Linked DNA regions of Diceros bicornis minor. The main gene of each other region encodes a partner of the protein of the gene in region 3 in a complex. Links are inferred from orthologs where the notes say so. Each region holds a gene or a part of one and is shown on either strand. Other genes may lie near its edges. The genes, in order: HRH3, RGS16, GNAO1 and C5AR1.

Region 1 (7,520 bases), on a different chromosome or scaffold from region 3:
CACCCTTTCTGCCAGCAGCCCCAGCAGCCTGGCACGGCTGGTGGTGGGGACGGCTGGGCCTCGGGCGCGGGCTCAGGGTCGGCCGTCTCGCGGGCCCCGTCCAGCCGGACGCGAGTGCGCCTTTGGATGTTCAGGTAGATGCTGAGGTTGAAGAAGGTGACGCTGAGGAAGGGCGTGAAGAACTCGAGCGTGGAGGCAGTGATGAGGAAGTACCAGTTGTAGAAGAACTCGGCATAGCAGTGGCCCTCGGGGATGGAGCTGCCACCGGACAGATACTCCCAGCTCAGGATGGCCGGCCCATACAGCAGGAAGGCCAGCACCCACACCAGCACCATTTTCCGCACCGCCCGCCTCGTGTTGCCCTGCTGGGCCCGGTAGGAGACCTGCGGTGGGACACGCTAGGTCAGGAGGGAAGGGGACTGAGCCCAGGCCGGCAGGCTGCTGCCTACTGTGGCAGGAATATTGGCCTGGGGGCTCCTCGGCAGCCTCTAGGCCTCTGTGCACTGCCTTCCTTCACAGCGATGCCTTTTCCTTCTCCTCCCCACCCTCTCTCCCCTCTGTGCCATGCATCTTGGGCTGGCTGATGCCCTGTCACATTCTCCTATAGCCTCAGAACCTGCTCCAGACCAATCTGAATGCTAACTTTGTGCCAGGCTGCCTGTTTAGCACCCCCACCAGCTGTGCGCTCCCGGGGGGGTGTCTTGTCATGGTCCCCTGTCTACTGAGTACCCACTGTGCACCAGGCTCTGTGCTCAGCACCTTTTGGATATCATCTCACTTAATCCTCAACAACTCCGTCATTATCCCCACTTTCCCGATGGCTCAGGGAGGGAGGGAGAGACCACAGGAAAATCCGCTCCAGGGGACAGAGCTGAGGTTTGACCCAAGTCTGTCTGACCCCGACCTATGCTCTCTGCACTCTGTCCCACAACCCCTCTAGACTGGGACACATGTGGCACCCCCAGCAGAGGGCCCTGGGGTGCCCGATAAGCCATCAAAGAGAAGATGAGAAGGCAAAGGAGAGACCTCCGTGCCAGTGCAGCTGTGTGCCCGCACGGCACTGACGCAGGAAGCTCAGGTCCCTAACTCATGGTGGCCACTCACACCAAGCGAAGCCTGTGAAGCCAGGAGCCAACACCTGTCTTCCAGGGGCGCAGACATGAGCGCACACGCGCGTGCGTGCACGCGCGCACACACACACACACACACACACCCCTGTGGTGGGGAAGCACCAAGGACCTCTGACCCAGATCCTCCCTCGGCTCCAGGGACTTTGGACCTGCCCCAGGGTGGAAGCTGAAGTGACCCCCTTCCTTCAGGAACACCTGATGCCGGGTCCAGACTGTGCCTCCTGTGTGTCCCAGGATCAGTCCTACCCGCAGCAAATGGCTACTGAGTGGGCAGCCAGCCATAGAGCACCTGGTGTGTCAGGTGTGAGGTCAGCAGGGACCAAGCCCACCTGGCACCACCTACAACTAGGAAGGGGGCAACCTTTGCCTGGTGCCTCCTGTGGTCCCCCTTCCTCCAGGAGTGAATGTGGACACCCTCATCCCAGACTCACGGCGCGAGTGACCGACAGGAAGCGGTCGTAGCTGATGAGCACGATGTTGAAGACGGAGGAGGTGCAGAGCAGATAGTCCACCACCAGCCACAGCTTGCAGACGCCCCGGCCAAAGGGCCAGCGGCCAGTCAGCACATAGGGCACGTACAGTGGGATGCAGAAGGCCCCTGTGGGAGAGTAGGGCATGGTGGGCCAAGGCTCGACAAGGGCCTGGGGTCAGACCCACCACAGTGGAGAGACAGGCAGGACCTGGGAGTCACATGGTGGCCACCTTTCTGGGACCAGCAGCCTTCACCTTACCCACCCCTCCACTTGATCCCCTCAGCACACCTTCTACCCTGCACTTGCCTTCAACCCCTGCCCAGCCCCCAGTCCCACTGGAGTCCCCTGGACTTGGGCGCAGGAGGGAAGCTCCAGGCATGGGCAGGCACCATGACACCCCGAGCCTTAATTTGGTACTTCCCAGGCTTTGTTCAGCCTTCCCAGTCCCCAAAGGGAGGAAGAAGGAACATCTCCTCCCCTCTCTGGCCTGCTGGACCCCTGCGCCTCCCCTGGCCTTTGGACAGCTCTTCCTCATCAGCTCAGAAAGCGAGAAAGCCTTTCTCCTGACTCAAAAGGCGCTTGGCCGCCGCCCCGCCAGCCGCTCCCACCGCCAAGCCCGGCTCACAGCGCTGGCAGACGCACTTCGCAGCCCCAACAGGTGTCTGGCGCTCCGGCCCCCTACGCGCCCCGCCCCCAGCTGGCAGCAGCGCACGGACACGTGAGAGCGCGCTCCTAGAAGCATCTCCCCACGCCTTCCCCGGTCCCCTCCCTCAACACTCTAAAAACCCCCTTCCACGTCCCCTCCCCCAAATCTCCCCCCAGCGCCCTCCGCGCGTCCTGAATCCGCCGCAGCCTTTGTTTGGCTACAACGCAGGAGCCAGCGCTGCACCCGCAGCCGCTGCGCCTTGCGCCTCGCCGAGCGCCTGCCGGCGCAGGCCCCTTCCCGGGGAACATCCCTCCCCAGCACCAGTCCCACAGGCAGGGAGGCAAGGAACTTCGCCAGCGCCCACCGCCCCACGATTCCTGGACGCCTCCTCCCCAGGCCGGGCCCCCTGACGGGGCGTGTGCCCGAGCGAAAGGCACCCTAGGTCCGAGCTCCAGTCCCCACTGGCCGGGCGGGGCTGGGCGCTCCTGCGCTCGGGCGGCGACTGGGGGCTTTACCCACGAGGAAGTCGGAAATGGCGAGGTTGAGCAGAAAGAAGTTGTTCTGGGTGCGGAGGCTCGAGTCGGCCACGAAGGCGAGCATGACTAGCGCGTTGCCCAGCACCGTGGCCACGATGAGCAGCGCCATGAGCGCGGCCAGTACCGCGGTCCAGGCAGCGGAGAAGCCGCGCGCCCCGCCCGCCGCCGCCGCCTCGCCCGCCAGCGCCTCCGACGCGTTCAGCGGCCCGTCGGGCGGCGAGCGCTCCATGGCCCCGCCGGCTCACGCGGCGCCGAAGCGCAGGGCAGGGCGCGGACCGCCGGCCAGTCGTCCGGGAGGGGCCCCGGCCCGGGAGCCTGGTCTTTGCGGGCTCTCAGCCCGGCCGGGATCCCCGGGCGGTGCCCGGCGCATGGTCCGTGGGCGCCGAGGCCGGGGCAGGGGCCGGGGCGGGCGGCACCGAGGGGGCCCGGGCCGGAATCCGAGCCGAATGGGGCCAGAGGCACGACCACTGCAGCCCGAGCGGACCCGGAGCCGAGCCCGACCCGGAGCCGCCGCCAGAGCGTCGGCGCGCCCCAGTGCAGCGCGCAGCCGAGTGCGCCCCGCGCCCAGCCCGCCGCCCCCCGCGCCCCGCGCAGCGCCCCCGCCATTGGCTGCCGCCCTCGCCCCGCCCCCGCCCCGCCCTCGTCCCGCCCGGCGCCGGCAGCACCACGGACAGCGCCGCGTGCCCGCCCGGCCGCTGGAGCCCCAACCCCGTGCGCACGGCTGCTGGCGGGGAGCCCGGCCCCGGCAGGGCGGGCGCCGCGCTGGGGGCTCGCCTGCGGTCGGCCGGCCCGCGCACACAGGAGCCGGCCTCTGGGCCGCTCGGACTGTCCCGTGCCCTCAGGCCCGCTGACTCCTGGCAGGCCTCCGTCCGGATCCGGCGCACCTGCAAGGACCTGGAGTGGGGGCGGAGGAAATACCTGCGCCCGCGCGCGGGGAACCTGCCCCGCGGGACCCGCCTTGTTTCGCGCTCGGGCAAGCGGGTCTTGGGGGAGGGAACGTCCCAAGGAGGAAGGATGGGAGGGGTCTCCCAGAGCGCGTGCGCTGGCCAGGGGTCCACGCCACCCCCACGTGCATGGGACTCTGGGTCTCAGTCTCCCCGTGGGCCCAGCGCAGGGTCCAGGGTGACTTGCAAGGCGCAGACAGATGTGGAGTTACATAAGGGAAGATGGGGAGCCAGTGGACCCAGCCAGGAGAGGAGCGCTTCCACCTGGGGCTCAGGCGGCCGCAGGCTGAGGACGGAGCAGCCAGCGACTCGGAGCCCGGCCAAGATTCCCCCTGGTGGACAGAGCGGTGAGGCGGTCGCTGCTGCAGGGACAGACGAGGTCACTGTGATCGGAGCACAGCGAAGGCGGCGGCAGCGGCATTAGCGCCTGCGGGTATGGAGGAGGAGAGGCGGCAGGAGGGAGAGCCCCCTCCCCCCAGACACACGCTCAGATAGACAGGGTCAAGGACAGATTCAGCAGGAGACACTCACGGCGAGACAGACAGACACGCCCACACGCAGACACACAGACACCTACAGACCAGGGAAACAGCCGCCCAGCTAGGGATCCACGAATGGCAGTTAGACACCCATCAGACAGCAGACAGCGAGGGAACAGTGCCTGAGGGAGAGGGAAGCAGTGACTCTCTGCTCTGTCGCCAGCGGCGCACATCTGCAGAAGCCTCAAAGAGGATGGGAACATGAGTATCTGCGTGTGGGGGTGGGGGCTGCGAGGCTGCCGGGAGGAGAGGAGGGGTGGCAGACGGCCCCCGAGGCACTGGCATGCACGGGCACCCCCACACTTATAGCAGCTGTCTGATCATGCCAGGACCCACCCCTTCCCCTAGCCCCAAGAGGTGCTTCACAAACTTTGGGGAGTGGGGGCTGGGCTCCCTCTACTGCCTCCTCAGGGTTGCTTGCAGGGAGGAGACCCCAGATCCTGCCCCAGCAGACACTCTTTCACGGCTTCTCGCAGCCTGTGCTGGGGGATGGGTGGGGGGCTCCAGCTCATCCTCCCAGAAGCTCTTCCTGAGTACTTGGCTACACTCCTCCTCTCCACCAGTAAGCCCTGCTCCTCTTACAGGCTCCCCCAGCTTCCCCTCACTGCACCCCAACGTGCCTGGTGGGCAGGGCTGTGCCAGGACCAGGCAGCTGGTTGATGGTGAGACAAGCCGGGGTGGAGAGTTCCTGGAGGGGCAACAAGGTGCTGCTCCCATCGTCCGCGACTTCCTGAGCCTCTGGTGCTGAGTTAGCACTCATGGACCCCTGCTCAGCCAGCAGCTGCCTGCTGAGTGGAGCCCCCAGGCCCTGCTCCTCCCCAACTCCCCGGAGGCCAGCTCTGGCCAGACAGTGCTGCAGGGGTGCTCCCCTGCCCCCGGGCCTTGGGAGATGGAGTTGGATAGGGGTTGAGAGGGGGGCTCTGACTCTTTCAATCACTGGCTGGGAGCCCCCTCCCCAGTCTCAGGATCCCCACTTTGGAATGGAGACTGTGTGCTGCTTACTGTCAGGGTAGAGGGCTGAGTCAGGGGGGAGTCTGTGTAGAGGGCGGCCCCTTTACAGTCTCAGTCAAGCCTAGCCACAGTTGTCCTTGTGGCTATCAGTGTTCTGGGGCTTTCCTTGGTGGTCTCTCACCCACAGCTGGGGGGAGAGATGGACTCAGTTCAGACCTGGGCACCGGGGGCCCAGCTGTGTGCCTCGGGGGAGTTACCAAATTTCTCTGAGCGTGGAGATCTTCCTCTGTGAAGGGAGGCCACCAGGAGAGGGAGGGCCAGGATTGGCCCAGAGGTTTGAGGATGACCATGGCCAAGGGTGGTGAGCACCCCCCATCTGCACTTAGATGCATGACCTCATTAGCTCCCCACTCCCCCTACAAGGAGAGTAGAACCAGTAGCCCCTGTCCAGAGCGGGGAAGCCACCTACCTGCCCCAGGTCACACAAGGCCAGATGCTGTTCTCTTAATGGCTACACTCCTGGCCCTGAGATCAAGGGCCCTGAGGCGAGCAAACGTACCAACTCTTAGAGCATTGACCTAGTCTGGACAGGAGCCTGGTGTCCTCTGGGCTGGACCTAACTTGGCCAAGGCAATTCGGAGTGAATAAGGCAGGTCCCCATGTGGCTGTCCACAGGGCATCTTGCCCTGGGGGCTCTGACCCAAGGACTGGGTATTCAGGCCCCAGGATGGCTGGGAACCCTCCAAGACGCTGGGAAAAGCTGGCTAAGGGTTGGGGGACAAGGGCAAACCCCTACTCTCGGCTCACCCAGACTCCCTCAAAGAGAGTGGCCTGGGACCCTGGTTTCTTCATTTGTCAAAACAGCCGGCATCTGGGGTGCAAATTGTCTAGTCCAACAAGGAAGCCATTGGGCAAATGCCCCATCCACACAAACCGTAGCCAGATTAGCCAAACCAGACCCCCTGCAAACCTTCCCTAGGAGATGGCTCCCCTACTGACTCATCAATTGATTGGTTCATTTGTCCATTCAACAAGGTTTTATTAAGCACCTAAATTCAGGCTCTCTGCTAAGTCGTTTTAGTGTAGGGAGGCAAGTGTAACGCAGTAAGTAACGCACACGTCAGAGGTTACAAGTGCTCTGGAGAGAAATGAAGCAAGGCAGGGGACGGGGAGTGCCAGGGCACGAGGCCCAGGGGGCCGTGGGGTGTAAGGGGGTGCAGTGAGCTGACAGCCCCCAGTGGCAGTGCCTTTGGGGTCTGCTGCTGTGTTGCAGCTGAGACGAGGGACACATCTTTCCAGTGGGCAGAGCTTCAAGCACCTGGTCATGCCCTTTGTGTGGACGGAAAAGTGGCCCAGTTGAGAATATCTATGGATTCAGGGGCAGTGGCCAATGTCCTGGTGGGCTGGTCAGGGGCCTGGAAGGAACAGGATGGAGGTGGAGACAAGGGGCTCTGGGCTGGACCACATGGATGGACATGTGACTATGGGCACCAGCATGAAGGTTTTTGTGTCACACACAAACACCCACCAGGAAGCATCCACTAGGAAGAGGTGACAGCAAGCCCCTGTCATTGGCCACCCATAACTGGCATGACAGCACAAATGAAGTGGTCTCGCCAGAGGTCACGCATGGACCAGGAGCGTGGACTCCCCCCTGCAGAGGCTGATCTGGCCACTGCCACCTCTGAGTGTCTGACCCACCACCGACTTAGACCAATGCTGAGCCCCCAGTTTGGCACCTTCCCTGAGGAGAACAAATCACCACCTGGTGGTGAGTTGACTACATTGGGCTGTGTGGATGGTCCTCACATACCTGCTTAGGTGTGGGCTTGCCTCATCTGCCCACAGACGCTGCACCACAATCCAGGGCCCCATGGAGGCTTGACCCATGGGCATGGAATCCCATACAGCACGGTACTCAACCTGGGGCCCACTTCCCAGAGAAGGACGCGCTAATTGTGTCGCCCGCCACACCATCCCGGAGCGGCTTGCTTCACAGGATGCAGGAACAGCCTTCCAAAGGCCCCCCCGCATGGGGCAATGCCTGCGAGGAAGGGCACCATCCTACAGGATGCAGTGTCCAAATCAGAGACATGTACCTGACACTGCATTTCCAACAAGAAGAACACGGTTGTCTAGGATCCTGGGTGGAGGCTGGCGTGGCCCCACTGGCACCCCTCCCAGCGACCCACTAGGGTATTTGTGCCTCTGCCACTCTGGGCTCTGCAGGGTTAGAGGTGGGCTCCCCAAGGGGCACACTCTTACCAGGGGACATGGGAAGGGTCCCGTTGATCTTGGCTA
Region 2 (7,604 bases), on a different chromosome or scaffold from region 3:
CCTCGCATGCAATGACTGCCCAATAAATCTTTATGGAATAATGTGGAATAAATAAAAGTGCTCAGAAAAAAAAATACAAAATAAGACACAGAAGCAAGGCATTACTATTCTCCGTCCACAAGGTGGCCCCATGTTCTTAACCGAGTGTGGACACCAAGCAGTGGAGGCCTGAAAGGAAGGTTGACAAGCTCCCTGACCACAATCCTGCTGGCCAGAGGCAGGTCAGCCAGGGGACTGAGCCAGATTACACAAGGTCCCTAGGATGACCTGTCTCGCCAGGTGTCTAAGACTTTTGAGCCTCTAAAAAAGGCTCAGTCTACGAAAGTGGGTATGGACAGAAGCCAAAATACCTGCCAATCCCCCTGGCCCCATCTGTGAGTCTGAGGGTAATAGCACCCAAGGGTGGCATGGAGCCTGATTTTCCTAGTCTCCAGAAAGAAGCCCACTCACTACTGTGCCAAATAAGGCCACTCTACGCCTAAACTCAATCCTTCACCTGCTGGCCCCCACCACGGTGGGGAAGGAGCAGGCAGGGTCTGGAGGATTCATGGAATATGTCACGGCTCTGACCTCTTTAGGGGCTTCGCTGCAGATGAATTCCTCAAAGATCCGGTGAGCCTGGGAGGCCAGCTTGGTAGCCGACCGGATCTTCTTAAACTCCTCACAGGCCAGCCAGAACTCCAGGTTCTCCTCACTGAACTCTGTCTTCAGGAAAGTGTGGAAGGCAGCCACTCCATCTGGGGTTGGGATGAGAGAGGAAGAGACAGGTCAGACCATGGGACAGCCAGGAATAAAACAAGAAAAGACAGCAATTGTGGTTAATGGCTCTATTTTTAGGATGTAATTTTCTTGAACAAGGACCTGCCTTTGTATTCTGAATAGAGGCTGGCACACTAGGGGATCATTATTATTATTCCTACTGTGATTATTTTGCCCACGCTTTCAGCATCCCTCAGGCTGGCTCCCAAGCACATGAGCACACATGTGCCTTCCACAGACAGACACCACGGGGCAGACTCACTTTTACTGCTCAGCAGCAAGTCAAATGACTCTTTCCACCCCAGCACATCTTCTGAGAAGTTTCTGGTAGGGGAAAAAAAAAAAAGCCAAGATTTTAATTAAAAAAAAAAATCAACAAACTAACGTGTAGCACAAATCCTAGTCAGAATCCAAGGGGAGTTGCATAATTCACACAAAGGTTTGCTCGGTGATTATTGGAGCTGACACCTCAAACTCTTGGTTGGGGTTAGGGGAAACAGAGGACTATTTAGGAACCAGAAACCAAAGCCAGGGACCTTTTGGCCCTCAGTAAATATTTCTAAGGCCATCTCCTTGCATCCAAAATTGTTTCCATTCCCCTGACTCGCAGAGTTTTGTTTTGTACACTTCTCCAAGGAAATAAGGGCCTCATGAATAGAGATTATGTCTACCCATAACCTCAGAGCCTAGCACAGCACCTAGCATAGGTGACGTTCAAAATGAAAGGGTTTCTAGGCAAGGTGCATGCTAATGGAAGTACAGTCATTGATTAAAAAACAGGGGCCTCAGACCCTGTCCTGGCCTCGGTTGCATGCACAATGACATCTCCAGGTGGGAGAGTCTGGTAACTAGACATCCAGACACTGGGTACACTCATCTGTTGGTGGACCTAGAACCCTGGAGCCACCCACCCACTCACCCATGAGCCAAGCAGCCATAGCAGACCAGCAAGAAGCTCTAGCAAAATCTCCAGAGAGGGGTCGCCAAGGTCTGCCCTAGCATGTCCTAATTTCTCCTTGTATTTTCTCATGACTCCTTTCCTAAATCTGACTCCCTCCCTCTAGGGGCCCTCAGCTAATGAACAGGACTTACCTCTCTTTGCTGTGTTTACTGCCCCATTCAAACTTGCCAACACTCCCAGCATCAGAGCCCAGCTCTGATTTGTGAAGCAAGATCCCCAGCCGGGTCTTGAACTCTTTGGCTCTGGAAGACAAAGCGTGAGCATGTAAGGATTCTCTATTTGCTCAGCCAGGGCAGAGAGGTTTATGGGGTCCCAGAAGAGCTCAGGCTAGTGCCACCCAAATTCTAGCCTCAAGGGTTCCTGGGAACCCTAGGCTGTTCCCAGGGCCTAAACTTTGCTTCCTTCATTAGTGTCATGAAGCCAGAAACAATGAAAGCAATGTTTGAGCTTTTCCTTGGTAGGTCGTACGCTTTCTGGGTTTCCAGCACTGCACACATGGGCTTTTTCCCACGTTAAGTCACATTGATCTATCTCTGTGCCTGTTAATTAGCAGAAGGCAGTTCAGCACCCTCTGGGCTTGTCATGAATATTTCTGGAACTGTGTGGAAACTGATTCCTGCCTTCATTTTTACCTTTCCTTCCCAGCCACCAGTTCCAGTAAGAATGGGAGGTGGCTGAGTAGCTCTCTGGGAAGCCGGCACATCCCTCACTGGTGGACCCAAAAAACACCTCCCTGCTTCCCAGGGCCAGAGGAGGCCATGCCCCTAGATCTGGGCTATAGAATGAAAACCACGTGCTGAAGAAACTGGGGAAGACTCAGTTCTGCCTGGTGATGCCAACGTGGTCTTCCTGCAGCCAGGTCTTCAGCAGGTCACCTAAGAAGGACTGCCATTTGTCAGAGGATGGGGAATGGCAGTAAGCACTAGTCCCTTTGCTTCCCTTTGCCTTTCCTCCTCCCTTGTCTTGGCCTATGGCTTCCCTAAGATTCTTAGGGAAGCATCTAAGAACATGGAACCAAGCTGACCTCTGCCTCTCAAGTCACTAGCGTCCCATTCTCCCGTCCACCCAGGTCCCCAAGCCTGCCACTCCACTCCCTAAATGTTGGTGGGACCTGGACTTCTTCCTCCAGGCAGCAGGACAAGCTCCTCTTACCTCTCCAGACAGGTTGTCGGGAAGGCGGCCAGGGTCCGGCACATGGCTGCGGGTGCAGGGCAGCACGTCGTGGGGAGGATGGTGGCGGACTTCAGCGGCCACCGCAAGCGCGACGAGGCAGAGGAGCGGCAGCTAACACCCGCGCGCGCAAATTGCGTTTATTGAGCTGCTTGCGAGGAGCTGGCGCTACCGCGGCTTTTATTCTCTCGGAGGGGGCGGGGCGAGGCTGAGCGCCGCCGACCAATCGGAGAGCGGGACCGAGCGCGGCGAGGGCGGAGGCGGGGCGCCTGGCCGCGGGCTGCGCCTCCCCTACCCGCACGCAAACTTCACACCTGAGGGCACACGGGGCTGCGCGCTCCTCCCCCGGGTGGACGCCGGTGTGGGGAGGGAGAAGCGGCAGAGAAGTCACACGGAGATGAGATGCGCACACTCAGCTTAATAGGAAAAAACCCTCCGGGCTCCAGTAAAAGGAGGAAGGCGACTCACGGGGGACGGGAGGATTTGGCGGGGGGGGGGGGGGGGGGGGGGGACGGAAAGGAGGGGTACGTGGCGGGCAGGTCTGAGAGGCACACAAGTTATCGATCACAGCCGGATCCTGAGCCTGTTGGGTCCTGAAGGACAGAAGCAGAGTGCAAGCCAGGCAAGACAGCATCATGATTATACTCATAACTACTATTTACTATGCTCCTACCCGGATGGCCACAGAGCTAAGGAAGCCCTTTAGCATCATCTCATCATTACCTCCATTTTATAGATGAAGAAACTGAGAAAGCTGGAGACTTGCCCAGATCACAGTTGGCAATAGCAGACACTTGGCGGGGGAGGCTTTATTGAGCATCTACTATGTACCAGGCACTTTTATTAAGACTCAGGTTAAATAACTTACTCAAAGTTGCACAGTTAGTAAGGGTTGCACCAGAATTCAAATACGAATTTACCATGCTTTTTCCACTGCCCCACCCCCTCCAAAATTAGAATCCCGCTACCTCTGTAACTGATGAGTGATCCTGGGTTTAAGCGGTTGCTAGTTCAGTGTCCACATCTCATCTCTGAGATAAATGTGGTAAATGCTCTGCCTCTCTCCTCACCTTCCCATAAAGGCATTACAGCCTCCCCCATTGTCCCTCTGTTCCCTTTGGGATTGCTACCAAGGGGTTGCATGTGAGGTTAAGAGTGTGGGATCTAGAGCTAGATTTCTGGGTTTCAAATCAAGGCTCCACTGTTTACTGATGGGAGACCTTGGGCAAGCTTCTTCACCTTTCCATGCCTCAGTTTCCTCGTCTCTAAGATGAGAACATAATACACTTATTTCATAGAGTTGTTGTGAGGTCTAAATAAGCTAATTCTTAATTCAAGTTCTCCAGGAAACAGTTCTTCTGAGGCAGAGACTTGCTGGGGAGAGTTCTGGGAACTGAGAGAGAGTGAGGGAAGCCGGGTTGGGCAGAGGGAGGAGTTGAATGCCATGCCACTGCAACAGAGACAGAAGCTGTTCCCAGGGGATGCTCTGGAGTGGCACGGCCCTTTGGAGCTGTCCCCCACTGAGGCAAGGGGGCAGTCCTTTCGTCAACCTTTCATTGGATGCAGTTGCCCCAAGAAGATGGCCTCATCTTAGGCAAGGCAACTCTCCCTCTGTCAAGGGAACTCCTGGAGAGAGACTGCGCTATGAGCCTGCAGCAGATGACGTGCTGGAGGCTGGGGGATGAGGGCCTCAGTCCCAAACAGGGCTCTGTGCGGTGTGCCGCGGCACCTTCAACACGTAAGGCACTTAGAACAGCGCTCAGCACGCGGTCAGCACCCGATAAATGTTAGCTCCCAGGTTTACTTGATACGGAGATTGCTAGACAATAATGAGAAGTAGTGAGTTTTGTGTCTCTTGGAATTTAGGCTTTTATTTCATGAGGGGCATCTAAGAGCTGCTATTCCTCAGCAAGTCCTGGAAGTAAAGGGTCAGAAAGGAGAGAAACAAGAGGAGAAGAGGTTCCCCACCTGAGAGAGCTCGGTGAGGAGGCCCAGAAAAGCTAGTCGGGGAAGGCAAGAGAAAAACCACAGAGAGGAAGAGAAGAAGAAGGCCCACAAGACAGTCATTAAGGCGTTGCTAGAGCAAGAGAGGCCCAAATCAGACAATGTGTGGGGTCCTTTGTCAAAGCAGATTTCCTTGTTAAGCCAGGGCCTGCAGAAGATGAGCCGGTTGGTCAAAACAGAATGCACTCTGAAAAGCCAGAGTCGAACCCTTCGCCAACCTCCCAGTGGTTAGTGGAGCAAGGGGCAGGTCCAGCAGCAGCTCCCACATTGGCAGCACTGTCTCAGATGCCAGCATCCCACCCTCACCCCCATCTCGCTAACCTAGGCTCTTGTTCTTCCTCTCTCACAAGTCCAGGGCTGGAGTCATGGGTGCAGGGAGATGGGTAAGGGTGGAGAGGGGGGCAGTGGTCTGTGTTTCTCAGCACAGTCCTTCATCCACACGATGACACAGCCCACGCGGCCCCATCAGCAGGACGTTCTGCTGGAGGAGTCTGTCAGCTGAGGTGAGGGTTGTTGTTCCACCTGGTGCTGCTCGTGCCCCAGTGCACGTATTTATTATGCAGCTGCCAGGTGGGGGTGTGGGCGGTGTCTGGGACAGTTTTTCTTCCAGCGACAAAAACGAGTTTACGGATGGACTGAACCGCCAGTCTCGCCACGTTGGAATCAGCCCAGACATGGCCCCGTGACAACAACAATAGCGATCACACAGAGAACCTCCTCAAACCTTCCTGTCCTTTCTGCATCCCCGTGAATAGGCCAGAGGAGCTTTTTAATTCACATTTCGCAGACAACAATACAGCGGTGCCTAAGGCCCCCTGAGTCAAGTGCACTGGAACTGGAAACAGCTGAAACCAGGGCCCCATTTCCAGATCCCTGAGCCAGCGCTTTCTCCCATTCAACAAAGAAAGCAAAGAGACAAAGGATTGATGAGCGGGGCACATGCAGACAGGCAAATCCAATCCGGGAGCACAGAGCTCCCTGTTCAAGATGAAGAGCCCTCTCTGAGTTCAACCTGCCTCCCGGTTGCCATGGTTACCTCTTCAGTTTCCAGGCAGAAACTTTTTGAAGTTCACAATTTATCCCAAATTCTCTTCCCAGCAGGTAGGTCAGTTCATAACGGAAATTTCAGTAATGACTCAACAGTTGCTGTAAATCCAGCAGGTTGAGCTCACCCCTGAATTGCCTCAGCTTTGACAGACCCTGACCTCATTTTTGCCCGGGGCTTCCAGGGCAGCTGCGCTCTCTTTAATGGAGGGTGTGTGGACACAGCTCTGCAGCCTGGATCATCTGGGGTCAGCAATCCAGGCAAAGCTGGGGTCAGGATTAAACATCCTGCAACATCCCGGCCACATTGCCTTCCATCTCCTTCAGCCCCTCAGACCCCCAGCAGCACCCTTTCCACTGAGATGGGTGTCTAGACTGGATCTTTGCTGAAAACATTTTCTCAGCTTCTGATTTGGCACAGACGATCCCCACAGTGGTCTGGATGTTCCAAATTCAATCAACAATCTACCAATAAATATTTATTAAGAATTTACTCTGTTCCCAAGTCGGTGGGGGAAATAACAGCTCTTGAGGCTCTTCCCTGACTCTAATGACCTTATATTTCCCCCTGGCTGAGGAAACAGAACCAACATAGGAGGAGGGAGAGGTGAAAGGAAATTATTGCCTGGCGTCCCAACAGATGTCCAGGTAAGGGAGAGGTCAGAGAGGGTCAGCAGCGTTAAAAAAGGAGTCAGAGGAGTTTGAGTGCCGCCATGGACAACGGCCAGAATATGCGGGACGTGGAGGGATCACGCTTCAAGTGGGAGAAATAGCTAGGAAAAGCCTCTTGTAGTTTGGAGGTACAGCGAAGGTGCAGAAAGATTTAGGAATTCCTTACTCCCTGGCAGAGGTGCTTAGGCCTGCAGGATGCACAGTTGGGTGCCACTTCTAGCTTCGGAAGCATAAGAACAGCAGTGGCAGCACATATCATGAGGATGCTGGATGAGGAGGGAGAGATCATACCTGAAGACTTGAAAAAGACAGTCCTTGGGGGTCATTTCCCTGCTGGGTCAGGACAAAAACTGTGGGTGGCCTCCCCTCCTGGGGAGGAGAGTTGACCGAGTTCAGCCTGGGTGTAGGAAACCCTGTTCTTCCCTGATTACCTTTTAGGGCACTGGGTACAGCGCAAGTTGACGGCTGTGCTATTCCTCTGGTTTCTTCTCCTCTTTCCTCCCTCCCTCCCCTCCGGGCAGAGTTCTGAGGGGATGGGAATGTGGGAGGCCTGCTTCTCTCTACCCAACTGGGCAATGGACCCCTAGCCTCCAAGGCAGCGCAGTCTCAGCCACCTGGGGAGGAGGCTGGAACTCTTCAGTGGTACCCGTGGCTGGTAGGATCATGTCAAGACTCCTCTCTATGGCATAGAAGGCTCTAACCACCTGATCTCACATGCTTCACCTCACACCCTAAAAGCCAGCCAAACTCAGCGGTCGGCAGGTTACCACAGTCACCATGCTGCCTGCACCTACAAACCCCTGAGCATGAGGTTCTCTCGGCCTGAAGGCCCCTCCCCTTCCTGTACTACTCATTTTAAAAGATATTTTTCACTAAACTAACTGTATTTATATATATTGAGATATAATTTACATATAGTAAAATGCACAGATCTTATGTGTACAGTTTGTTCGATGAGTTTTGACAAATGTATGCACCCATGTAACCAATACCC
Region 3 (6,863 bases):
CCGAGCACTACCGAGTCCCTGCGAGCCCCGCGCCCAGCACAGGGCGAGCCGAGCCGAGTGCCGCCGAGCTGAGCCCCACCGACTTTTCCGGCCTCGGCTGGGCGCTGTCCACCACTCGCAACGCCTGAAACCTCACCCAGCTCCAGTGGCTGGGGCTTCTACCCGGCTGAGCCCGCCACTGCAGATTACGGACTTCTGAAGTTTTGAAACGTCCCCCTTAGGGAGAAAGGGATGGCGCTGCTTGCATTTACCGACCTGCAAGGGTTCCAGGCAGATGCAACATGCACCTTGTTGCAAAGAGCAATTCCCCAGGCCCCGCCTCCCCGTCCATTTGGGTTGCACAAGCTCCAGAGAAGCCCCAGGCCAAATTACCCGTGGCTCAGAGGGGTGCGGCGAGCCGAGGGGGCCTCTGCAAAGAAAGCCCCGGGGAGCTCTCGAACAAAAATAAGAGCACGTCAAGCAGACGGGGGAAATTGTCTCCGAGTCGCTACTCCCTACCATCATGGCGCCGCCTAGAACCCGCTTGTCATGCCTGTTACACATGCAAGATTTTTTGCATCTTGTTCTGAAAGCAAAAGCATGCTTCGTCTCCCACCCACCTTTCCACGAAAGGGGTTTTTATTTTCCATTGTTTTCCTACGGGATGCAATTACTTCGCCTATGCTGTCAAGTTGAAAAATAATCATTTTTGTTTACTGCACAGCAACCTCTAATTAGGAGCTGTGTGTGCACGAAGGTGTCACAGCAAAGCGACGTGGAATCCTCGCTAAACGGTCTTAACGAACTCCTCCGTCCCGAACCGACAGGCCAACGGAAGCAGCAGGGCCAGGAGGCCCTGCGGGCGCGCACCCCTTCCCCGCCGGCCACCCCCTCCCCCAGCAAAGCTGCCTGAGGGCTCACCAGGAACTGCCGAGCGGAGTGCATGGGGCCAGAAGCGAGCCCGAGAGTGGGAAGGAGGGGCGAGGCTCCTTATCGAGAAAGTGTGGAAGGGAAGAAATATCCCATTTTGTTTTAATTTTCAACCATCACTCAAATCCACCCCCAGTTAATTAGGAGGGGAAACTGATATCTAAGGCAGAAGGGGGCGGCGGCAAGCGGGGCCTGAAATCCGCATTGGGGGTAGATTACATGGAACACGGCCTATGCAGAGTGTAAATAAATACATTGATAAAGGCCACAGAGTGAAAGAAAACTGCCAGTGTCAGGAGAGCGAACGCTGGGAAGGGTGGGGGAGGAAGGGCGGCCAGCAAGGGGCGGGCATTCAGCCTCACAGCCAGTGTCCCCCTTCCACCTCTGCCTTGGATACAGCTGTGCCAGTCACATAAGCTGGGAAACCCCCACCCCCTTCCCTACCACACGCCCCCTCCCCTAACCCTCGTCCTCTTTTTGGGGGGAGAGGGGGCAGAAACCACAGTCTCCAATTCAGCACCAAATCCATGAACAGCAGACACTTGATCATCCACCCCAGTCTAGGGCTGGGTCCCCTCCGTGTTTTAGCCAAGTTCAAAATCACTGCCCCAGGAGGAGAGCAGGGCGAAGTGAGATTATGGATGTGGGGTGGGGGGTGGAGGGAGGAGGAGAGAGAAATAGAGACAGAATGAAACAGAGACACAGAGACAGAAATGCAGGCATCAATACACACGAAACACCCCACGAGCAAGAGTAATGATCATAATCATGCCAATAGTGTGATGTTCTGATCAATATGGCGGACACTGTCATTCATACAACTACAGGCGCTCCCCTTCCCTCCCCCCCCCAAAAAACACCCACCCGGGGAGTTGGGGTGGAGGACTCAGAACCAACGTTGGGCGTGGGGGAGGGGAGTCAAACCCAGGTCTGTGTGTGTGTGTGTGTGCGTGTGTGTGTGTGTGCGTGTGTGCACGAATTAAAAACTGGGCCCGGAGAGCAATGTAGAGTGAGCAAGGTAACACAAATGATAAAAAATTATTCTTAATAAAAGTACAAATCCCAATGGCACAGGGACTTACTTCATCTGCTTCACAATGGTGCTTTTTCCTGATTCTCCAGCCCCTGTTGGGACAGACAGGGGGGAAAAACTGGTGAGTGTCAGCTTAGGGGAACGGGGTGGGCAGGGGGATAAGGCATGCGAGGGGGTGGGCGATCCTGGGCACATGGTGGTGCCAACTCGGGACCAGGTCTTCCCGGGCCCGAGTGGGGTGGGGGAGCTGGCGGAGGGGGTGCGGAGGGGCCGGGGTCTGGGGATAGGGGTGGCAGCCCCGGTCCTTACCCAGCAGGAGTAATTTCACGTCTTTGGCGGCGCTGATGCCATCCTCTTTGAGGTTTTTCTCAATCGCCTTGCTCCGCTCGAGGGCGGCTCTCTCCTCTGCGCTCAGAGTACATCCCATGGTGGCCCCTTCCCTGCCACAGCCCGCACGACTCGGCTGGCACTGCTCCCCGGCTCGGCGCGCCCCCCACCCCCCCAGAGAGCAGAGCCTGGGCTCAAAGGGGAAAAAAATCACGATATCCTCCCCTCGGCAGAAAACAAAAATGTCGGGAAACCAGAACCCCCCAAAAAGACAGCCGCTAACAAGATTCCAGCAGCGGAGAGTCGCGGCAGCTGGCGCGGCTCTGGGGGTGTCGAGGCGAGGGTGGCCGGGGTCTGGGGATCCGGAGCCCAGGGAGGAGGCGCCCGCGGTCCGTGGAGGCGCGGGCTGCAGGCACTGAGGCTTGTGCACGACCCAAACTAAATAAAATACTAGTCGAGGCAGGAGCCGCAGCCCGAGCCGGCGGAGGGTGGGGTGGGGGGCAGGGTGGGTCCTTCTGCCGCTGCTGCCGGAGGAGGAGGCGGCGGCGGCGGCGGCGCGGGGTGTGGAGGGAGCGAGTGAGGGGGTGCTGCTAGTGCATGTGCATCGCCGGTCCTGAGCCGTCGGTGCGTCCGCGGCGCCTTCGCCGACCCCCGCGCGCTGGGCAGGGCTGGGCAGGGGGCCGGGCCGGGGGCAGGTCTCTAGCGGGAGGCGGCGTCGCTGTCTCCCAGAGCTCGCATCGCTCAGTGGAGCCTACCGGAGAGAGAGGGAGGGCGCGAGGGAGCCGCGGGCAGCCGGGAGCTCGAGGGGGAGAGAGAGAGAGGCTGGGAGGGAGGGGAGAAGAAAATGAAGGGAGAGCGCGCGCGCCACAGCCCGGGCGGGGGAGGGGGCGAGTGCGCCAGCGGCTCTGCGCACCCCGCACCGCGAGCCGCCCGCTGACGTCAGCAGGGCCGCGCGCCGGGCCCCCGGGACGGGGAGGGGCGGGGGGCGCAGGGGGCGCGCGCGCCCGGGCCGCGTCAGCCGGCGGCGGCGCGCGCTCGGCGCGGCCTCCCCTCCTCCAGCGCTCCCCGGGCCCGCAGCTCCCCCGAGTGGGCGCGCGCGGGGCCTGGTGGGGGCGGGGCCTGGGGCCGGGCGCGCGCCGGGACGCCCCTCCCCGCCCCCGCCCCCGCCCCCGCCCCGCGCGCCCGCTGCGCCGGCCTCCTTGTCAATGGGAGCGCGGGGCCGCGCCGCCCGCGCGGCGGTCAGGCGGGTCCCCCGGCTCGCGCCCCGCGCCACTTTTCTCGCTCTCCGGCTCCCTCTCCATCTTGGCTCCAGCAGCTCGCCTTCTTGATTGTGCTCCTGCTGCTGGGGCCGTAGAGCCGAGGCCGAGCGTCCTCAGCAAACGCGAGGAGACAGTGGGTCAGAGTAAACCTGCGTTCCCGATAATTCGCCTCTGGGGCATGGGGGCAGATTCGGATTTTTCGCTTCCTGCGTCCCACATTTATTGAGCACCTAGTATGTGAGAGAGGAGGCTGTGAGCAGGGGAACACAGCAGGATGAGACAAAGCCAGGGCCTGTTCTCTGGGAGCCTCTGCCTGCCTCCCTTTGCCATCGCGAACTCTGCTCCAGGATTCCCGGCCATAGGTATCAGCGCAGGAGACAGTTCCCACCATGGGAAGCTTTTGGAGGGGAGGACAGGTTTTCATGCGAGTGAGCTTCTAGCAAATGCTTACTCCCTCAATACAGAGTTGAAACGCTTTTGCTCTTTTGGACGGTTTAGCTTCGTTGAGATCTTTGCGCTGAACTCTCTTATCCTGCCCCTTCCCAAAACACAAATACATAAAATGAAATTTGAATAGATTTTTGGTGAGAAAAGAGATTTTCTTCCTTTCTTCATCTTTTAAAATATTTTTTCCCATCTCTTCTTTTAAATAAAGACTGAGAAACCCGGGTCGGTTACTCAGCGTACAGCTAATCAAATACTGAGGAAACACATAGACATTTGCCAAAGATTGGGCATGTTCTGGGTGGTCTCTGAGATTTTGAAGAAACTAGTTCTCATGCACAAAATGGTTTTACAATCAGTTCCACAAGACAGCCCCAGGGGCCCTCCTAGAGAAAGGGGCCAATAGGAAAGGTTGCATGGGGATAAGAGAGGCAAGCGGCCAGTGGAAAACGTTTTCTTTTTAACAGTTGGGCATTGCTGTGGCTCTGAAAGCAAACTTGTTTGTTTCATTTCAACAATAGAAAAAAAACACCCCTCTTTTGGAAACGTTACCCAGCATAAAAATACATTTGCAATGGGGAAGAAAAAAAAGGCAATTAAGGCCCACCCAGAAGAAAATATTTTTTTCCCCTGAATTTTTTAATTTGTTATTTCCCAGTATGGGTGTGCCTCATTCTACAAATAGCTATCTATGTCAAAGTTGTACATAATATAATTAGAACATTTAAATTTGAATCACATTTTGCATATTCTAGAAAACAGACTAACGACTCTTATAAAGAATTGTTTTATAAAGTAAATAATTGATTCCCTACTCCCCTCTGGCAGTCTCCTTTTGTGTGTGTGTGTTGGGGAGGGGGGTGGCTTAGGGGATAAATCTGGTTTGCTTAAAATCAGAGTATCACTAAAAATCAGCCTTCCAGATCCAAAACAGACCTTAGGTACCCAACATTCTATAGAATTTGTTATTTCCTGTAAAGGTTGCGAGGATGATTATGCAGATCTATCAAATAAAGGGAAAAAAATTCAGCAACCTCACCCAGATTCTGCTATCCCAAGGCTGCATCTGAAAGATTGAAGAGGTAAGAATACAACCATTTCATTGCAGATGGTGGGTCATAGTTTACATTTTAATGCTCTTTCATATCAAGTAATTTTTAATTTAAGATCTTAGGCTCTTGAGGCATTGTGGCTTTTATGGTTGAATCAAACTATCCTTGATTTTAGGTTTATTTATTCCTTCTTGGTATCATACCTGGTATGGTGGAGGCACAAACCTGTGTTTTGTGTTTTTCTGTACTCACTCAGTACTTATTAAGCACCTACTTACCATGTACAGGGTAATGTTCTAGGCACTATAAATGTTGTACTTCAGGTTTGTCCTCCCTTTTTCTGGGTCACTTTGCATCTTTATAGTTGGGCTTCACAAAAGACTAATAATAATCTGCTTCATTTGTATAGTGCTTTATAGCTAACAGAGCACTTTTGCAAAAATTATCTCATGTGATCCTCCCACAGATCCTCAGTTAGGCACTGTGGTGTGGGGAGAGTCATGGCTGAGTGGAAAGAGCCTGGACCATGAATCCAGATCGACCTGGGTACCCATTTTACAGCTAAGAAAATTGAGCCTCTGAGGGGTTGAGTAACTTGTTCAAGGTCACACAGTCATTAAGTAGTAAGCCAGTGCTCCTTTTACATGTTTGTGGACTATTTAAGAAATAACATGTAATATAAAGCATGCTTCCTAGACTCACAGAAAGCTTACAACCTCAGAACCCAATCATATTCTGGTCCCCCCAAAGGAAGTGAAAATAAGGACGTCTCAGTTCTCTGAGTTATTAGTAATTAGATAATACCACAAGTGTTTAGTTTGTCTACAACTAATTCCTGTGAGAATGGAGAAATTACAATCCTAATATCAGGACTGAGGGACAGACACTTAGATCAAGGACAGATTCCACTTGGTTTTATTTTATACGATCCTCAGAATTATATTTCTCTGATTATTGCTGTTGGCCAGAGAATACCGCTCATTTACCCCACCCTCAGTCAACTATCCCTCTTGCCACACACACACTGTTCAGCATATTTTTACTTTTAAAAGTAGGCAATTAGAATGTTTTATATTCTCTCTAAAAGGAACAACAGCAAAGCCTACATTAAGTTGCTTTTTTACTGCGTGTGGCTCCTAATTCTGGAGGACAGTAATTTATGACATAAGCAAGATTCCCTAGCTCTGACTTAAGAATGTGGGCTCTGATTAGATGAACTGAATTTCCCTATTTGTTCCTTTTTTGTGATTACTTTAAGTAAATATGCATGTATTGACAATCTACTATCTATAAATTATTGATTTAGACTCAAAGGGAGGTTCAGATTTAAGAGCTTAATATCTTGAAATCGTGAATTCTCTGGAATGCTTTCTCAAAACCATTCACACCAGAATCAGCTGGGTGCTTGTTCAAAATTCTGTTACCCATCTTACTTCTACTAAGTCAGACTCTTCTGCAATCTGCACTGATAGCCACTCCCAGGTGATTTTTCTGTACACAAGGTGCTAGGTCTTATACAGACTCTGTGTATGCCAGTTAATTCTGCTAGGAGCTTACTTTCTTTTCTTTTCTTTTCTTTTTTTTTTTTGGTGAAGAAGATCAGCCCTGAGCTAACATCTCTTGCCAATCTTCCTCTTTTTGCATGATGAAGATTGTCACTGAGTTAACACCTGTGCCAATCTTCTTCTATTTTGTATGTGGGACACTGCCACAGCATGGCTTGATGAGTTGTGTGTACCTGGGATCTGAACTTGCGAACCCCAGGCCACCGAAGTGGAGCATGCAAACTTAACTACTATGCCACTGGGCCGGCCCCAGGAGCTTACTTTCTTAAAGTCC
Region 4 (7,732 bases), on a different chromosome or scaffold from region 3:
ACTTCTGAGAGTCGAACTCCAGAGCCCTCTCTGAGTGGCTTCCAGGCCTAAAGTACGGTGGAAGTGAGGGGCATGCGTTCAAGGCAAAAGGCCAAAAGGTAAGAGGGAGGAAGTGTGCTCATCTAGAAAATGAAAGAAGGTCACTATGGCTGGCAAGTGGCCAAGACTAGGTTGGAAGATCCACAGATGCCACTCCTGGGGTAATGGGAAGCCATGGATGGTTTTTGAGCTGCAGAGGGACCAGATTACAGTTTCAGTTTAGAAAGATCCCTCTGGGCGCTGTGAGGAGGTGAGATTAGAGGCAGAAGGACCAGAGAGGAGGCTGGGGCGAGGACCCAGGCCAGTGAAGATGGGGATGGGTGGCGGTGATGGCCAAGAGGAGGAAGAAAAATGTTAAGATTTGAGAGCTCAGAGAAGAGGCATGACTGGGCCACAGTCATGCGGCTGGTACGTGGTACACCCTGCCCCAGCCCCTTCCCTTCCTCTCTGGGCTTCAGTTTCCCCATCCTTTCAGGCAAGAAAGTCCTACCAACCGTCCCCCCATCACAGTGAAAACAACAGACCCACTTAGGGACGCTGCCAGAGCCAGTAAACACACGGAAGGCAAAGTCCTCTTTTTTCCCCCAAACATCCCCTTCCCTCTTCCTGCAGGGACACAAAGTCTTTAAACAATCCACCCACAGAACCACATGAAACTATTATAGGCCATGACCTCTGAGAAACGGGATAGAAGGGTGGGGGCAGACATTTCAACTCAGATTTATCTTCCTGAATTTGCACGACCTTTGTGATTCCAATCCCTATGCATTAAGAAACATAAACACACACGTTTTTAAAACTATGTGAAAAAGACAAGCCTCCAGATCCTTTGAGGATGCAATGAACTGCCTCTCAGATTGGCAAAAATAAAAAACTTTGATATAACTGTGCAATGATGGTGTAGACAAACAGACAGTCTCATGCACTGTAGATGGGAAATATAAGTTGGTACAGCTTTTGGCGATATCTGTTAAAATAAAAATCACCTCTGCCTTAGATTCAGCATTTGCAATTTTGGAAACCCAAACATGGGTCCAAAGATATAGTTTTGGTGTGAAAGACAAAATATTGTAAACAACCGAAATCTCCATTGATAGGGGATGGAAGCTCCCATTGGAATATTATACAGCTGATAAAAAGAAAGAGATAACTCCCTTGAAATACATGGGGATGATAATAGTACCTTCCTCACAGGTTAAGATGAAATTATTAAATGTAAACTGCATAGCACATGCAGTAGGCACTCAATAAATGCTGGTTAATAATATACATGATTCATGAAGAAAAGCAAGATGTAAAACAATATGTAAAACATACTTCTATTTGCAGAGAAAGGGGTGGAGAAGGGATAAACATGTCACATGCATTGAGCGCCAACTGTATGCCAGGCACTGTTGTAAGATCTTTCCATGCATTATTTCATTTAATTCCCTCAATGATCCTGTGATGTAGGCTCTAATTCTGCAGGACTTTTAGCCATATCATAAAGATAAGGGGAAGGGGGCCGGCCCCATGGCTTAGCGGTTAAGTGCAGGCGCTCCGCTACTGGCGGCCCGGGTTCGGATCCCGGGCGCACACCGACACACCACTTCTCCGGCCATGCTGAGGCTGTGTCCCACATACAGCAACTAGAAGGATGTGCAGCTATGACATACAACTATCTACTGGGGCTTTGGGGGGGGGGGAAGGAGGAGGATTGGGGTGGATGTTAGCTCAGAGCCGGTCTTCCTCAGCAAAGAGGAGGATTAGCACGGATGTTAACTCAGGGCTGATCTTCCTCACAAAAAAAAAAAAAAAAGAAGATAAGGGGAAGGACACCCAGCAAAGCCAGGTCTCCTCAGCTATCACACAGGAGAGGCGGAATTTGAACCACATTTCAATTTGACCCCCCGTGTCAAATTGCTCCTTACTTCATTCCCTGGAGCACCTGTAATCATTTCTGGAAGGATACACCACAAACTGGTACCCACAGTTGCCTCTGGGGCAGTGACAAGGAGTCTGAGGCTCTTGGGGGGGGGGGCCGGGGGGAGCAGGGAGAGTGGCTTTCCACCGACTACCCCTTTGGTATGTGGGACTATTTTATAGATGGAAGAAGTTGAAGATAATCATGGGCCCTCTTCTGAAAGCCCAGGTCGGGTCTCGAAAGTGGGATGAGGAGAATGAGCCAACTCCCTCCCTGGTCCAGCCAACACGTTCTCCACTTCCCCTTTCACCCCGATGAAGCAAGACAAGATCCTCTACACGCAGGTGTTAAATCACAGCCCTGCGTCGCTGAGACACAGACCTCAGGGCGCAGGTGTGCAAGGGGGCCCCTCATTTAGCCTGGAGACAGTCTCCCTCTTTGGGAGACAGCCTGGTTCTGCCACCAACCACTGAAGGACCCTGGCCAGCTCCGTGCCTACCTGTGGCTCCGTTTCCCCATCTCTACCATTCAGAGCATCTGAAAGTCCACGTGACTTCACCATTCTTCCAGACTGGCCCTTTCCAGCCTCCCAACCTTCACTCCTGCCATTTCCGCTGCCTGGAAGGCCTTTCCTGGACGACTCCCCTTGAGGAAGGGTGTCATCTTATCAGAGGCAACAGCAAGGGTTTCCTGCCCTGGGGGACTCCTGGATCCCAGCCCGGGAGTGGGAGAGTCTGAGATGAGAGTGAGGGCAGACGGGGGGAATGAGGATGGGGAGAAGCAGGAAGGAATGGGAGAGACGGCGAGAAGGGGAGAGCTGGAGAGAGAGACAGGGGCCCCGAGAGGAGAGAGCACGGTACAAGGGTCCCCTTCTAGACTCACCATATTCAGGTCTCCTGGGTTCCCCGTTGATCTGAGATCCCTCCTGCCTGAGGGCTGTGGTTTTTAAGGCCCCAAGGGAGGGTGCAGATAACCAGGGAGGAAATGACCCATCTGTCGCCTCTGGGGTTCTCATTGGTCTGCACACTGGACACCCTATCTGGGACTCCTTTATGGGCACACACCCGCGGAGCTCTAAACACCAGTCAGAGGAGGGAGGTCAGGGCTCAGAGAACTGAGGAAGTTCCTGTCCGAGGACAGAGGAAGCCAGATGAAAGAGACCCCCACCCCGGTGTAGGCTTGGCCTCTCTCTGGACCTTAGTTTCCCCATTTGAGACCATCTCTCTCTTTCCTTCTAGGGCCCCGGGCAGCTCAGGGTTCTAACTGGCTTAAACTCTCCTGGGGTCCCGGGCAGCGGGGATTGTGAGCCTCAATCCAGGTTTCTTGGAGGCCCAGAGAGGCTAAGCAGGTCTGCGGGGGTGGCCCAGCACTTGGGGACTATTAAATCTTCCTCCCTAGGGTTGTAACGTTGGCGTCCCTCGAGCCACAACCATACTTTCCAGCCTCGTTTTGAGTTCTCGCGGACACAGGCTGGAGCCCGGCGTGAGGAAGGGTCTTATGTTAGTTTTCTATGGCTGCTGTAACAAATTGCCACAAACCAGGGGGCTTAAAACAACGGGGATTTATCCTCTCGCAGTTCTGGAGCCCAGAAGTCCGAAATCAAGGGGTCTGCAGGGCCACACGCCCTCTGTAGGTTCTAGAGAAGAATCTCCGCCTGGCTATTCCAGCTTCCGCCAGCTGCCAGCGTTCCTTCGCCTGTGGACATCACTCCAGCCTCGGCCTCTGTGGTCGCATCTTCTCTCCCACTGTGTGTCTCAAATCTCCCTCTGTCTCCCTTATATAAGGACCCTCGCGATTACATTTACCGTCTCCCTGGATAATCCAGGATAGTCTCATTTCAAGATCCTTAACGTATCTGCAAAGTCTCTTTTGCTCTTTAAGGTCATGCAGCAGGTTCCAGGAACTGGGATGTGGACCTCACTGGGACCCATTTTCCCGCCTCCCACAATGGTCATGGTTATCACAAAGAGCACGAAACAGGCTCATTTTCCCCAGGCTTTTCTGCAACTCTGCAATACATCATCCACATCTTCCCTCCGCAAATAGTATTTTTCTACAGCAACCTTCAGTTTGTAAGGATCTAGCTTCCTTTTCGTTGCAAAAGTAACCCACGCACATTGCAAACATGTAAACAATCCAGAAACGCACTCCTCCCACCAAAAAAAAAAAAAACCACTGAAAAATCCCGTGACCGCCGCCCTTCTGAAACTCCTCTCAGCGGTTTGGAGTGTATTCGCCCAGACTTGCACAAACGTGGCGTTTGCTTGGGAATGGACATGCGGGTGCACGACGTGCAGCAAGATTTAGTTCCACTAAATGAAGCCATGCGTGTGGTCTGCATGGCTCAGCAAGGATTTTTGCAAGTGCGTTGGCGGGGGTTTGGGGCTGGTAGGAATGCGGTGTTGTTATTCCGACTCGGACCTCAAGGGGGCGCTTGAGCCCGGGGAGACTCAGGCGGCCAGGCCACACGCTCTTGATGTTTCAGGATTTTGGACCCAAGTTGCGCATTGCCTTAAATCGTGGATTCTCAACAGTTTCTATGCCCTGGACCCTTGGTGAAGTTATGAACCCCTTCTCAGAATATTTTTCTTTTTGGCAACTTTTAATTTCGGTGTAATTTCAAACTTAAGGGGAAGTAGCAAGAAGGGTTAAAGTAACTCTTGCGTACCCTTCACCCGGATTCACTCATTGTTGCATCTGCGCCGCGTGCATTAGTATGCTCCCACTGTATACTCGTGTGTGGGGTGGGGGAGGGGAAGGGGGTATCCATCAGAGCTCTCCAGAGAAACAGAAGCAATAGTAAAGTGAGAGAGAGAGAGATTTGTTTTAAAGAATTGGCTCCCGCAATTCTGAGGGTAGCAAGCCCAGGAAATTAACGGGGGAGGTCCATACCCATCTCCATATCTACAGATCTATTTGCATTTTTCCCCCGAATCATTTGAGATTACAGTGAAACCATCATGCCTCTTTGCCTCTAAATTCTTCAGTGTGTGTCTCTTAAGAACAAGAATGTCCTCTGACATAACCACAGTGCAACTATTGAAGGAAGTGTAACACTGATACAACACCATTATGTAATCCGCAGCCTTCATGCAAATTTGTTCAATTGTTCCAATCATGTGCTGTTATCACTGTTTTTATCCCTATTTTTTTTTTCGGAATAATGTTTTTGTAAATACATTGAAAAACACCTTGTTTCCTTTTAGTAGCATCATAAATCCATTGTTAGTTTGAAACCTGTTTATGAAACCACTTCCCTGTGGGTGGAACTTTCGGTGGTTTCCGATATTTTTGTTCACATCACAGCGAGCACCCTCATCCACACATCCTGGTGCCTGTGTACAAGGATTTATTGCAGATAACTCTCCAGAAATGGAATTGCAAGGCAGAGTGGGTGGACACCATTCTCAATGTTTGTAACCTTTATGCTGGCGTCTCTCCATCCTCTTCCTGAAGACCGAGACCTGCACTGTCCAGTACAGCAGCCACCAGCCATGTGGCTACTGAGTAATTAAAATGTGCAGAGTCTGAATTGACATGTGCCATGAGTGCAACACACACACCAGATTTCAGAGACTTACTGCAAAAAAAAAGATTGTAAAAGATCTCAAGAATTTTTATATTGTAATACATATTAAAATAATATTTTCGGTTAAGCAATCTATATTATTATTATTTTATTTATTTATTTTTTTTTTGTGAGGAGGACTAGCCCTGAGCTAACATCCAATGCCAATCCTCCTCTTTTTGCTGAGGAAGATTGGTCCTGGGCTAACATCCATGCCCATCTTCCTCTACTTTATATGGGACGCCGCCACAGTGTGGCCTGACAAGTGGTGCGTCTGTCCGCGCCCAGGATCCGAACCTGCAAACTCCAGGGCGCTGCAGCGTAGCGCACGCACTTAACTACTGCACCACCAGGCCGGCCCCAAACTATATTATTAATTATATTATTGTTATTGTTACATATTAAAGATCATTATAGGTAACAACCTAACAAATATCACTACTATGATATGACTATGATATATTCATATACCATTAATATCATTGATATTAATCTAACATATAATAATTATATTATTAAAAATGCTACTATTTTTATTTCATCTGTTTCTTTTTACTTTGGTAACGCAGCCACTAGAAAATTTAAAATTACCTCTGAGGCTTGCGTTTGTGGCTCACATTATATGTTTATAGGACAGCACTATAGAGCCACCATCACCCCAGCCGGAGCCTTTGTGTGAATTATAAAGAGGTACCCTGTCCAGGCAGTCAGAGCCCCGTGCCACGGTGCACACACGATTTGACAAGGAGAGCCGTTTCCGAGTGTTAATGCTTAAGTTCCTTTTTCTATCACGTATCATATGCAATTCATGGCTTCCACTTTGGGGTATAAGGTGGCTGCTCGTGCTCTCACCACACCCCGACAGGAAGGGAAAAAGGAGTCGGGGGCGCAGATGCCCAATCCTTTTAAGGGCGAGACTCAGAAGTGGCTTCCCACTCACAGCTCACTGGCTGGAACACAGTCTCCTGGCCGCACCTGGCTGCGAGGGAGGCTGAGAGACTCAGTCTTGAGCTGGGTGTTCCTGTGTCCTGTTAAACCTCCATGCCAGTGGACAAATGGGAAAATACATAGGAGAGGACAATTAGAAGCCAGTCACAAACAGCATCGGGAAGGACAGCTTTAATTTAAATAAGGCAATCTTATTTATTATTGCTTCAATAAGAAATCTAGCAGAGGAAAATGTATGAGAGAAAAAGGATGTGCCAATGATTTTCTTCTGGTTTACCAAAGAAAATTCACACATATTTACATATTCCAGAAAACAGGGATGTCAATTCAAATAATACTACCAGGGCCGTACACTATTAAGTCAGATGACTGTGAAAAGCCAAACAGCCCACTTCTGACACCAACTGCAGAATTGGGGAGGCTCCAAGGCCACCCTGAATCTGACACCGATGGCATGTTTGAGGGTCCCCAAGACCCCCCCTCAGGTTTGATAACTTGCTACACGGACTCTCAGAGCTCTCTGAAAGCTATTGTGCTCATGGTTACAGTTTAGTACATCGCAAGGGTACAGATTAAAGTCAGCCCAGGGAAGAGACGCACGGAGCAGAACCCAGGAGCATTCTGTACTCATAGCTTCTGGTTGTCCTCTCCCAGAGAAGTCGTGGATACCTTTTTCTCAGCAGCAGTGTGTGACAATATGGATGGAGCATCGCCAACCAGGAAGCTTACCCGGGCTTCGGTGTCCAGGCTTTGCTGGAGTTTGGTCACATAGACCTGGCTGGCCACCAGCATGGCTGATCTCAGTCTGCAGCCCCTCTGGAGGTCCAGCTGATACCACAGGACCCAAAGCTCCCACCATAAGTCACATTGTTAGACTAACTGGAGAGGCCTAAGACCCCAGGTAAACAAAGACACTTTTATCAGGCAGGACATTCTAAGGGCTTAGCAATTACCTCCCAGGAGCCGAGGGCGGAGGCCAAAGCTCTCTTTGGGCAAGGCTAAATTTTTTACTACACAACAACCAATGCTAATGACAGATTTTTTAGGGGTTAAAAGTTACTTACTTAGGACATAATAACATAACAGCAAAATCTGAAGTTTGGATGTCTTATAAGGTTCCTTTGTTAGAAATAACATTTACAGGGGCATTTTTATGGTGCACAACCATGCCTGCTTTCCTGAGACTGTGGAGGAAGAAGGAAAAGATTTTTATCCTTATCTTGCTAAGATTTGTTTTCACCAGTAGTTAGGAAGACCTGTGGTTTCAAAAGCAC

What was found.
Region 1: the proteins of GNAO1 (region 3) and HRH3 are in contact, whole or in part, in a cryo-EM structure (PDB 8YN7), measured with the Homo sapiens proteins. The link is inferred for Diceros bicornis minor from reciprocal best matches to the Homo sapiens genes GNAO1 and HRH3. Residues at the interface, in NP_066268.1 of Homo sapiens: Ile28, Ala31, Lys32, Asp33, Val34, Lys193, Asn194, Leu195, Asn312, Pro315, Asn316, Lys317, Glu318, Ile319, Tyr320, Phe336, Thr340, Asp341, Ile343, Ile344, Ala345, Asn347, Leu348, Arg349, Gly350, Cys351, Gly352, Leu353, Tyr354; in NP_009163.2 of Homo sapiens: Asn69, Asp131, Arg132, Ser135, Val136, Ala139, Val140, Tyr142, Arg143, Ala144, Gly147, Ile221, Ile225, Arg228, Arg232, Thr345, Phe348, Arg349, Arg352, Val356, Leu360, Cys415, His416, His417.
Region 2: the proteins of GNAO1 (region 3) and RGS16 are in contact, whole or in part, in a crystal structure (PDB 3C7K), measured with the Mus musculus proteins. The link is inferred for Diceros bicornis minor from reciprocal best matches to the Homo sapiens genes GNAO1 and RGS16. Residues at the interface, in NP_034438.1 of Mus musculus: Glu64, Asp65, Gln68, Ser75, Arg86, Thr117, Val180, Lys181, Thr182, Thr183, Gly184, Ile185, Val186, Gln205, Arg206, Ser207, Glu208, Lys210, Lys211, His214, His236, Glu237, Asp238, Glu239; in NP_035397.2 of Mus musculus: Glu85, Phe86, Ser87, Glu89, Asn90, Glu124, Ala125, Pro126, Glu128, Val129, Asn130, Asp132, His133, Glu134, Leu161, Lys164, Asp165, Ser166, Arg169, Lys172.
Region 4: the proteins of GNAO1 (region 3) and C5AR1 are in contact, whole or in part, in a cryo-EM structure (PDB 8JZP), measured with the Homo sapiens proteins. The link is inferred for Diceros bicornis minor from reciprocal best matches to the Homo sapiens genes GNAO1 and C5AR1. Residues at the interface, in NP_066268.1 of Homo sapiens: Ala31, Lys32, Lys193, Asn194, Leu195, Glu318, Tyr320, Phe336, Thr340, Asp341, Ile343, Ile344, Ala345, Asn347, Leu348, Arg349, Gly350, Cys351, Gly352, Leu353, Tyr354; in NP_001727.2 of Homo sapiens: Asn71, Phe75, Arg134, Leu137, Val138, Pro141, Ile142, Gln145, Ile225, Thr229, Arg233, Ala234, Thr235, Arg236, Ser237, Lys239, Thr240, Val243, Val244, Ala303, Gln305, Phe307.

The regions. Positions count from the first base shown.
Region 1 is NC_080758.1:1,872,530-1,880,049, reverse strand, and holds the start of HRH3 (histamine H3 receptor), read right to left. Parts: upstream 3,015-7,520; coding exon 2,765-3,014; intron 1,729-2,764; coding exon 1,562-1,728; intron 384-1,561; coding exon 1-383. UniProt on the Homo sapiens protein: The H3 subclass of histamine receptors could mediate the histamine signals in CNS and peripheral nervous system. Signals through the inhibition of adenylate cyclase and displays high constitutive activity (spontaneous activity in the absence of agonist).
Region 2 is NC_080743.1:84,786,117-84,793,720, reverse strand, and holds the start of RGS16 (regulator of G-protein signaling 16), read right to left. Parts: upstream 3,011-7,604; 5' UTR 2,917-3,010; coding exon 2,873-2,916; intron 1,963-2,872; coding exon 1,852-1,962; intron 1,084-1,851; coding exon 1,022-1,083; intron 738-1,021; coding exon 571-737; intron 1-570. UniProt on the Homo sapiens protein: Regulates G protein-coupled receptor signaling cascades. Inhibits signal transduction by increasing the GTPase activity of G protein alpha subunits, thereby driving them into their inactive GDP-bound form.
Region 3 is NC_080771.1:9,765,994-9,772,856, reverse strand, and holds the start of GNAO1 (guanine nucleotide-binding protein G(o) subunit alpha), read right to left. Parts: upstream 3,014-6,863; 5' UTR 2,370-3,013; coding exon 2,252-2,369; intron 2,035-2,251; coding exon 1,992-2,034; intron 1-1,991. UniProt on the Homo sapiens protein: Guanine nucleotide-binding proteins (G proteins) function as transducers downstream of G protein-coupled receptors (GPCRs) in numerous signaling cascades.
Region 4 is NC_080773.1:22,737,172-22,744,903, reverse strand, and holds the start of C5AR1 (C5a anaphylatoxin chemotactic receptor 1), read right to left. Parts: upstream 3,003-7,732; 5' UTR 2,828-3,002; coding exon 2,825-2,827; intron 1-2,824.